Linked DNA regions of Caenorhabditis elegans. The protein of the gene in region 1 interacts with the protein of each later gene in a pairwise test. Each region holds a gene or a part of one and is shown in the gene's direction. Other genes may lie near its edges. The genes, in order: ari-1.2 and zen-4.

Region 1 (4,648 bases):
ACGATATAAAAGGAAGAAACCTTTTTTCTAAATAGAAAATTGGTAATTTTTCAAATACAGTGAAAATCAGCAGTATTAGTAAAACAAATTTTAAAAATTACCATAAAATGATAGCTTTCCAAAGTTAAATTTAAATTCAAAATAGTTTAATTTTCAGGTTATGTTCTACATTACCGACCCAACAGTAATTGCCACCTACAGAAAGCTGATTGTGGCTAGTTATGTGGAAACGAATCGTCTTCTCAAGTGGTGCCCCGGTATAGATTGTGGGAAAGCTGTTAGAGTGAGTGAATTTTCAGTTAAAAAATGATTTCAATCAAATTTGCAGGTCAGCCATTGGGAACCCCGCCTCGTCGTATGCTCCTGTGGATCTCGATTCTGCTTCTCTTGTGGTCACGATTGGCATGAACCAGTGAACTGTAGGCTGCTGAAGTTATGGCTTAAAAAGTGCAATGATGATAGTGAAACATCGAATTGGATTAATGCAAACACTAAAGAATGTCCAAAATGTATGATCACAATTGAAAAAGACGGTGGATGCAATCATATGACGTGTAAAAATACAGCATGCCGGTTCGAATTTTGTTGGATGTGCCTTGGTCCATGGGAACCTCATGGTTCATCATGGTATAGTTGTAATAGATTTGATGATTCTGCAGCTAAAAATGCTCGGGATGCTCAAGAAGTATCACGTGCAAATCTTCAAAGATATCTTTTCTATTATAATCGATATATGGGACATCAACAAAGTTTACGTTTGGAGGGAAAGGTTTGTTAGATTTAAATAGATTCATTTAATAATATTCAAATATTTTTTAGCTCTATGCAACCGTCAAATCAAAAATGGAGCAAATGCAGACACTTTCCATGTCTTGGATTGAAGTTCAATTCCTTCGGAAAGCTGTCGATGTATTGTCAGAATGCCGTCGGACACTGATGTTCACTTATGCATTCGCATTTTATTTGAAGCGAGATAATAACGCCATTATTTTTGAATCAAATCAAAAAGATCTCGAAATGGAAACAGAACAGCTGTCCGGGTTTTTGGAACGAGATTTAGACAATGAGAATCTGGTGACACTTAAACAAAAGGTAAATTGTTGATTTCTTATCAGCGAAAATTTAAATAAATTTTCTAATTGCAGTGTTCAAATTAAAAAATTTATAGGTCCAAGACAAGTACCGATACGTAGAACATCGCCGAAAAGTACTTCTAGACCATTGTTCCGAAGGAGCTGATCAAGAACTTTGGGTTTTCAACGAGTAATTATTTTTTTGACCAACATATTATTAGTATACTTTTTGTAAAATTTTTTTATTGTTTTGTAGATTATTTTTTCCAAATTCGATTCTTTCAATCAGTTTAACTGTCTACCCTACTTGTCTGTATGTTCATTTCCTGTCATTTACCATCACAATCCTTGTGCTCTCAGATGTTTTTTTTCTTTTCGGCCTAAAACATTTATGTGTATTTTTGTGTAGAATTTTCCAGTCCCACTTTTCCTCTATTCTAAACATCCTCTTTTCTAGACTACGGATTCCTTTTTTTCTGAGTATAAATTTTTGAACATTTTTTTGTTTTTTGTAAATTGCCATGTTATGTAACGTGGTTCTCTTCCATACTTATTTGACGAAGTGCTTCAACTGGAACGAAAAATAACTTTTATTAAACCCGAGATTTGAATTATATGCTAGATTTCGAAAAGTGCTCAGAACTTTATCCTCTCGTATCTCGTGCCGACGCACTCTTGTTTGCCTCACTATCTGCGTCTTTTTTCTGTACAAGCACACAGCTGTTTTCAATGCGCCAGGTCACTCTCTACTGCCTCGCGATATATTGTTATTAATTTTATCTTTTTGAGATAATCTCCTCATTTTTCCCTATTCAGCATGAATTCTGACGCTGAAATGAACACGGAAGACGGAGGTTCGAGTCCAGAGGAATTTGGAGAAGCGGACGTGAGTTGCTTTCAATTTTTGGGGAAAGAGAAACCGAATTTCAGTGTTTTTCCGAAGAAGAAGATGAAGAAATCGTGCTGGACACCAGTGATAATGATACTTCGTACGCCAAAGAAGACAAAAAATCGGAGAATGAGGTTATTTAACCGCGGTTTTGAAGCTGAAAATAATAAATATTTCTTTAGGTCCTCGACAACGACTTGTTGGAGGCTGAAATGAACACGACGATAGCTGATGTTCAAGCAGTTCTTCAAGTTGATCCCGGTGTTTGCCGAATTCTTCTACACAAATATAAATGGAATAAAGAATCATTGCTGGAACGATTATACGAACATCCCGACACAATTGCTTTTCTAATTGATGCACAAGTTATTCCACGTCAACAAGAAGTTATTCCAGCTGGTGATGCAGAATGTGACATTTGCTGCTCCATGGATGAACTTTCGGGTCTTTCATGTAATCATAGAGCTTGTGCAGAATGTTGGCAGGCATATTTGACCAATAAAATCGTAAGCGATGCTCAATCAGAGATAGAGTGTATGGCTCCAAATTGTAAACTGCTAATAGAAGATGAAAAGGTAAATTTTATAAACTTGAAATTATACTTTTAAATATTTTCAGGTACTCGCCTACATCAAAGATCCGACTATAATTGCGAAGTACCGTAAAATGATGGTGGCCAGCTACATAGAAATCAATGCGCTTCTGAAATGGTGTCCAGGGGTTGATTGTGGGAGAACTGTCAAGGTAAACCATTCTGAATTCAATGGAATCCATAAAATTTTGGCTATTTTCTAGGTTAGTCATGGCGAGCCTCGACTTGTCGTGTGCACTTGTGGATCTCGATTCTGTTTCTCTTGTGGCCAGGATTGGCATGAACCAGTAAACTGTCGGCTTCTGAAGTTATGGATGAAAAAGTGCAATGATGACAGTGAAACATCGAATTGGATCAATTCAAACACAAAAGAATGCCCGAAGTGTATGGCGACAATTGAGAAAAACGGTGGATGCAATCAGATTACCTGTAAGAACACTGGATGCAAGTTTCAATTTTGTTGGATGTGCCTCGGGCCGTGGACTGTTCATGCAAACGCATGGTATAAATGCAACAAGTGAGTTGGTCTCGATTTTTGAGATAATTGAAATAATTCAAAACATTCTAGATTTGACGACGAAGCATCTCAAACGGCCAGAACTGCACAAGAATTGTACCGTGCAAATTTGACACGTTATCTTTTTTACTACAATCGCTACATGGGACATTTACAAAGTTTGCGGTTGGAGGGAAAGGTATTCGATAATTCGTAGTTTAAATGTTGTATCAAAAATTGAATTCCAGTTGAACAAGACAGTTAAAGCGAAGATGGATCAAATGCAGAATCTCTCAATGTCTTGGATTGATGTTCAATTTCTACGAAAAGCGGTGGACGTGCTGTCGGAATGCCGTAACACGTTGATGTTCACATACATATTCGCGTTTTATTTGAAGCGAGACAACAATTCAATGATCTTCGAGTCAAATCAGAAGGATCTTGAAATGGAGACCGAGCAACTGTCCGGATTGTTGGAACGAGATCTTGAAAATGAGGACTTGTTGACTCTCAAGCAGAAGGTACTGAAAGAATATCTTATAAATTTGCAAACACTCTATTTTCCAGGTCCAAGACACATTCCGCTACGTGGAACACCGTCGCAAAGTACTCCTTGACCATTGCGCCGAAGGCACCGAACAAGACATTTGGCAGTACAACGAGTGAAATTTGATAATGATTGCAATAATGCTAATAATATTCTCGCTTCTAAAATAACTCAATATTCCTCAGGATTCTCACCACATTCACAAATCTCTGAAATTCTTTGAACCATATCATGTTGTTCCACATCATGTTGTTTTTGGATTAACTCGCGATAATTTCATATATTTTCATAAACAATAACGGCTTCTTTCTACTATATTTGGGTTGCACTACTCCATATCTTATTTTATTTTCAAATGTGATTGCGAAATTGAAATCATGAAATGTGAATTATTTCACAATATATTTACTTTCTCATACTGTCATTGTTATTTATCGATTGTCTATTTTACAGCCTGCTGGGCACTCTCAGCAGGCTCTCGCAGTCATCGATTACCTACTGCGCATCTTTAAATCTCATTCTCTTCATTTTCCGGTTCAATTGCCAGTTGAACCGAAAACTTGAATTAGTGCAATGGACTGTGGTGTCATTGCTCAGTTTTATCTTGAAAAAAAGTTTTATGCTAATTTTTCTTTTACTTAATAATTTTAGAAAAACTTATAATATGCTTTCTTCAAAAAATCTAACGTTAAAAATTTCAGAATGAATTCAGACGACGAGATATACATGGAAGGCAGTGCTTCCAGCGAAGACGATATGGATGATGAAGTAAGTCAAACAGTCATTTAATTATTTAATTTAAATATTTAAAATTTTATTTTCAGTGCCTCTCCGATGACGATGGAATCGCTCGCCATGATCAGTCCGCTTCAGATTATCTGAACAAAAAAGACAAGGATAATGAGGTAATGTTACGTTTTATTACTTTCTTTCCAACTGAACCGTTTTCAGGTGCTTGACCACGATTCATTGGAAGCTGAAATGAAGAAAGCAATTTCAGAAGTAGAAGCAGTTCTTCAAGTGAAAACCGGCGTTTGTCGGATTCTTCTAC
Region 2 (6,181 bases), on another chromosome or scaffold:
AGAATCAGTAATTAACCACCTCGTGAGTTTCCAAGTGTTTGGAGTGTGGTGATTTCTGGAGAAAATTGAGAATATTCTGTAGTTTTCCCACGAAGGGTGAAAACAAAAAATATTACGGGAACACTAAATTCTGAGAATGCGTATTGCGCATCACATTTGACGCTCAACGAAAAATTGGAGGAAGTTTAAATATCGCTGTCACAATTCGAAAATAAATTTGTTTCGAACTTTCCGCCCGTAAATCGACATTTAAAAAAATTACTGTAGTTTTCGCTACAAGACATTTTGCGCGTAAGATATGTTGCTCAATACGCATTCTCAGAATTTAGTGTGCCCGTAATAGAATGTTTAATCCTGTTTAAACGTTTCATAATTTGGGGAGCATCTTCAACAATTTGGCTTCCCCGATTCGGCTGCGCCCACTCATTGCTCCTCGCAAAAAAAAAACGAATCAAGAATTAAAATCCTGGGAACCCCATTTGATTGATGATCAGAGATATAAGAAGCTTATAAATAATTTAATGCGAGTGCAAGAATTCAGACGATTTTTGAATCTTAATGTGTCGCCCTTCTCTTTTCAGATACGTCATGACGTGATTTATCTGAAACGGAATCTTGAGTCTGAAATGGAAAACACTGAGATTTTTAAGGACGGTTTTAAAAAATAAACTTCGAAATTGCTGTGGAAAGAATTATTTTTCAACAAATTGGCACATTTTTTCCAAATTCAGAACTGCTCCGAATTCATTGCTCGCTTGGATTGAACACCAAGGATGCCCTTTTTCTGTTATTTGAATTTTTTGGCAAATACTGTTTTACTACTTGATCTTGTACTACAATTGGCTCTTTTACTACGTTTTATCTTTTACTAATGATTTTTTACTACGACTTGAAAATTAATTTTTATAGTATTATAATTCTAGAAGTAAACAAATGTAGAATATTCTAGTGAACTTCACATGTTTTCTTTGTACTGTTGGGCTACTGGCACTGTGGTATATCATGTTTTTTTTTTCTAGAAATTTATTCACTATGAAATCAGCAGAACTTATTGTGTACATTTGGCTCTTAAAAATTGATAGAGATAGAGTACACAAAGTTGACATTGACACTGACCAATTTTTAAAAATAGACAAAAACTACAAAACCAGAACCAAAACCAAGTTAATCTGGGGGAAATACAAAACCAAACTACGAAGACACTTTTTCACAAAAAGAATATAAAGTTCTATTAAAAATTAGCAAAACGAATCTTATATTGGCACCTCAACTTTTACAGATGATAATTAATTTCCTTGTTTGTAACTTATTCGTATGTTTTTTATTAATCTTCCTATGTATTATGTGTTTATTTTTATGTCTTTAAATGATTTTTATTATATCTCACTACAATCATATCCGACCTGTGCTTTGATGCGGCCACATCAGGAACTTTGAGGATTTTCATCCTTTCGGAACCCATTACAGTCTCAACTCCCCGCACTGAAGGAAGGCCCATAGCACACGGTGGCGGCGGACAAAACGCGAGCTAGCGAGTGCCACCGCAATATTACAAGAGTACCACTCTCGCTGCCTTGTGTGAGAGACGCAGACATAGGTATTAAAGGCGCATAGATTTATCTGCGTGGCTGGTCTCACTGCGCACCCTCCCCCTCCGCCGCCAGTTTGAATTCTAACCGTTCTCACATGTTTGCTTTGACTTGTTTTTGTTGATTTTTCTTCGAAATTTGTTATTTTTTCACGGTTTTTTGGAATAAAACCGTTTTTGTAAATCAATATAACAAAACTTGTTTTATTTAATTCAATTCATTTCAGAAAATGTCGTCGCGTAAACGAGGAATAACTCCATCGCGAGACCAAGTCCGCCGGAAGAAGTTATCGATTGAAGAAACCGACAGTATCGAAGTCGTTTGTCGTCTTTGTCCATATACTGGCTCGACTCCAAGTCTTATTGCAATTGATGAGGGATCTATTCAAACTGTTCTTCCACCAGCACAGTTCAGACGCGAAAACGCTCCACAAGTTGAGAAAGTGTTTAGATTTGGACGAGTTTTTTCGGAAAATGATGGACAAGCTACTGTTTTTGAGCGGACATCTGTTGATTTAATTTTAAACCTATTGAAAGGTCAGAATTCGTTGTTATTCACTTATGGAGTTACTGGATCTGGAAAAACGTATACAATGACGGGAAAACCCACTGAAACCGGCACAGGACTACTGCCGCGTACATTGGATGTAATTTTCAATAGTATTAATAATCGGTAAGCTTTTGAAACGAAAAAAGCAAATAATATTATTTTCTTCCAGAGTTGAGAAATGCATCTTCTATCCATCAGCACTGAATACATTCGAGATCCGTGCCACATTGGATGCTCACTTGAAACGCCATCAAATGGCTGCAGACCGTCTTTCCACATCACGCGAAATCACTGATCGTTACTGTGAAGCTATAAAGCTGTCAGGCTACAACGACGATATGGTTTGCTCGGTTTTCGTAACCTACGTCGAAATCTACAACAATTATTGCTACGATTTGTTGGAAGACGCCAGAAATGGGTAAGAAAAATCGAGCAATAATTGATAGTGACCCTCCGCTAGTTCCAGAGTATTGACGAAGCGTGAAATTCGTCATGATCGTCAGCAACAGATGTACGTCGACGGAGCCAAAGATGTTGAAGTCTCGTCAAGCGAGGAAGCTCTCGAAGTGTTCTGCCTTGGAGAAGAACGTCGTCGTGTATCGTCCACTCTTCTCAACAAAGATTCATCCCGTTCTCATTCCGTATTCACTATCAAATTGGTTATGGCTCCGAGAGCCTACGAGACGAAAAGCGTGTATCCAACAATGGACTCATCGCAAATTATCGTTTCGCAGTTATGTTTGGTAGATTTGGCTGGATCTGAGAGGTTTGTTTTTTTGTTGTAAACTGAAATATATATGTTTAATGAGAAAAATTTTAGAGCAAAGCGCACACAGAATGTTGGTGAACGTCTTGCGGAAGCCAACTCGATCAATCAGTCCCTCATGACTCTTCGTCAGTGTATTGAAGTACTCCGTCGTAACCAAAAGAGTTCCTCACAAAACCTTGAGCAAGTTCCATATCGCCAGTCAAAATTGACTCATTTATTCAAAAACTATCTGGAAGGAAATGGAAAAATCAGAATGGTTATTTGTGTGAATCCAAAGCCTGATGATTACGATGAAAACATGGTTCGTTCAGAATTCAAAGAATTTACTAATTATTTAAATTCGTAACTTTCAGAGTGCTCTAGCTTTCGCTGAAGAATCACAAACAATTGAAGTGAAAAAGCAAGTTGAACGAATGCCATCCGAGCGGATTCCTCATTCATTCTTCACCCAATGGAATTCTGAGCTAGATGGATCTGTTCGTATGGAGGATGATGGAAGTAGAGAAATTCCGTGCCCACCGACATTCTGTTTGACAGTAAGAATTTCACAAATTGAATGGTTTTGAACAAATTGTTTCCAGGATTGCAATGACAAAGATACGGTAGATTCCATGTATAAGTATGCTCGGAAACTTTCATCTCTTCAAAATTCATCAGAAGAGGGACCATCTTCAACTCTTCTTACTATGATTCGCCAATACATGATGGAAGCAGACTACCAGCGAGTAGAGATTGCACGTCTCAAAGATTCTCTAAACGACAAGGATGAAGAAATCAAGAAGCTTCGAGGTTTCTGCTCAAGATATAAGCGTGAGAACGCTTCGATGAAGGAACGAATTGCCTCGTGTGAGCAAGGAGAGCAAGAGAATGCTCTGGTTATGGAAAAGCTTATGGAACAAAAAATGGAGGACAGGAAGATTATTCAGTCACAGAAGAAGGCGATGAGAAATGTTCGTGGAATTATTGATAATCCATCCCCGTCTGTTGCTTCTCTTCGATCACGATTTGATCAAGAGAATGTGGCTCATCCAACAGCTCCAATCCAAACTCCACCACCGCCATATCAAACTCCAGGACGTGCTCCAGTCTTCAAAAAACGGTTAGAAGCCACTACATCGACCACTGTAATGTCTGGATCTTCAAGTGGAGGAAGTGGTCAACAGGGTTACGTTAATCCAAAATATCAAAGAAGATCCAAGTCTGCATCTCGTCTATTGGATCATCAGCCACTTCATCGAGTTCCAACAGGAACGGTTCTTCAGTCTCGTACACCGGCTAACGCCATACGGACTACTAAACCTGAGGTAGGAAAAAACATTAATAAATTCCGCAATTTTATTGTAATTCAATTGTTTTCCAGATGCATCAGTTGAACAAATCCGGAGAATACCGTCTCACGCATCAAGAAGTTGACGATGAAGGAAACATTAGCACGAATATAGTGAAGGTAAATTCCTTGGTTTCCACCCAAAAACACGCCTGTACCGTCCCGTTGTCGTTTTCCCGTGTCCTTATCACCCATCTTTCCTGATACAAAACTGTCCGTCTTTTCTTCTCACAAAGCACACACGTAACGCATTCTAACAGGCACCATCTAAACCACCAGAACTTCAACTGGAAGACTCGCAAAGCAGTTCGTATTCACCGTGTACGGATGTAAAATCGATAACGATATACTCTAATCATGATGTTGAAGAAGAAGATGAATGAGAATTATTTGAAATGAATGTTTGCTGGGGGAATGAGAAGATGAAGCTGCTCTTTTTACATTTTTATGTGTTTGTTGTATGTTTTTGATTGTTTATTGGCTATTTTAGATACTGTTTTAGTAGTGCTTGAGAAAACTGCCTGAATTTGCTTGATATATACTTTTTGAGTTAAAATTTCATGCTTAAAATTAACTAATTTAGTGCTAGTTCTATATGCATTTAATTTCAGTTTTTCATGTAATGTTTTAGGTCATATAACTTTAAAAATACATTTATTTTTGTGTTCCACTTTCTCATCTGTTGCTCATCTCGAATTTTTCAGGGAAATGTAATTCCAACAGTTTCCGGTGGCACTGCCGTGTTCTTCAACGATATCGAGAGACTCACTCACGAATCTCCGAGCACACGAAAGTAATTATAAGTGCCGTCTTTGATCTTTTTACCTCCATCCTGCTGCATTTTCATGTCAAATTTGTACCATACTCTTCAAATTTTCTCCAAATATTTATTAATTTATTATGTTTCTCATTCATAATCCCATTTTCCGAACTCGAAGAGAACTCTTGTTTTTTTGTAGACCTCACCGCATTTTTATGATCTTTCACTTCTTCGTCTTTTTCTCCTTCTACGCACAATTTTTTGATATCGATCTGAAGAACTCTGTTCATTTTTATTCCCGACGATGATTTGTGTACTAGTAAATGCTTTTGTATTTTAATTTTAATTAAACTCAAAGAATATAAAATATGAAAATAAGTTAGCTTTTATTTTCGTTCAAAAAAATGAATCTCAATAAATAAGACCCGATTTAGGTCGAGGGTTACATAGAAAATGGTGGGAAAAAGGCACGGTTTTATACAAATAATTATGATTTAATACGCGTTTTTTGATTTTTTGGTTGGTATTTCAAAAAATAATTCAATCGAAAAATAAAAAGGGATTATCATGAAAAAGAGGTCAGAAATATTGATTATCAGAGAGATTTAATTTTTTAAAATTAAAGTTAAATTGGGAAAAGCCAGGCGAGAGACAAGATCAGAAACCACGTGGTGAGAGAAATATGAGAAAAAAAAAAGAAAATCGGTGAAAATTAATTGCCTAGAGAGTATTTTTAAGATGAGTGAATACATTTACTGCATTCATCATGAACATATTATCCGGTGTTGCTGTATTTGTCAAGAAATTGGAAACATTTGCGATGATCTGAAATATACATTCGTTGAAACAGTGGAAATTTTGAAATATTTTCCGCAAGTCTGGCATGAAATTTGCAAGCGTGCCGCACCGTTTTTTTCAAAAATTGCTATTAACTTTCTTCTCTCCAGTTTAATTTCTTTGCAAAAGTTTGCAAGACAATAATTTGTCGGACTATTTTAAAGATTTTCCAGAAGTTTGGTCGGTTAAAAAAATTCTGGGAACGTTTTAAATATATTATTGAGACGCAGAAAACATCCATTTTTGAAATCGACGTGTAAACGCGCTCAACCGCTAATCCCCCCAAACGATGGGTCTCGTTGGCTATTTTCCCGTAAACCCAGAATAACGAACTTTTTAAAACAAATGAA

Evidence for each region.
Region 2: the proteins of ari-1.2 (region 1) and zen-4 interact in a two-hybrid assay, tested with the Caenorhabditis elegans proteins (one large-scale study listed by BioGRID).

What each region holds. Positions count from the first base shown.
Region 1 is NC_003279.8:6,055,472-6,060,119, reverse strand, and holds ari-1.2 (RBR-type E3 ubiquitin transferase), read left to right. Parts: upstream 1-1,695; 5' UTR 1,696-1,811; intron 1,812-1,862; 5' UTR 1,863-1,890; coding exon 1,891-1,959; intron 1,960-2,003; coding exon 2,004-2,096; intron 2,097-2,144; coding exon 2,145-2,537; intron 2,538-2,580; coding exon 2,581-2,706; intron 2,707-2,757; coding exon 2,758-3,071; intron 3,072-3,122; coding exon 3,123-3,249; intron 3,250-3,298; coding exon 3,299-3,571; intron 3,572-3,617; coding exon 3,618-3,716; 3' UTR 3,717-3,989; downstream 3,990-4,648. Other genes in the region: E3 ubiquitin-protein ligase ari-1.1, read left to right, coding at 158-283, 329-769, 820-1,092, 1,169-1,267; ari-1.3 (RBR-type E3 ubiquitin transferase), read left to right, coding at 4,300-4,365, 4,422-4,502, 4,549-4,648.
Region 2 is NC_003282.8:6,116,406-6,122,586, forward strand, and holds zen-4 (Kinesin-like protein), read left to right. Parts: upstream 1-1,809; 5' UTR 1,810-1,818; coding exon 1,819-2,261; intron 2,262-2,307; coding exon 2,308-2,556; intron 2,557-2,598; coding exon 2,599-2,904; intron 2,905-2,958; coding exon 2,959-3,208; intron 3,209-3,260; coding exon 3,261-3,443; intron 3,444-3,488; coding exon 3,489-4,211; intron 4,212-4,267; coding exon 4,268-4,354; coding exon of another isoform or gene 4,355-4,438; exon of another isoform or gene 4,439-4,494; coding exon 4,495-4,617; 3' UTR 4,618-4,692; exon of another isoform or gene 4,693-4,938; coding exon of another isoform or gene 4,939-5,031; 3' UTR 5,032-5,372; downstream 5,373-6,181. Other genes in the region: M03D4.4 (C2H2-type domain-containing protein), read right to left, coding at 5,715-5,819.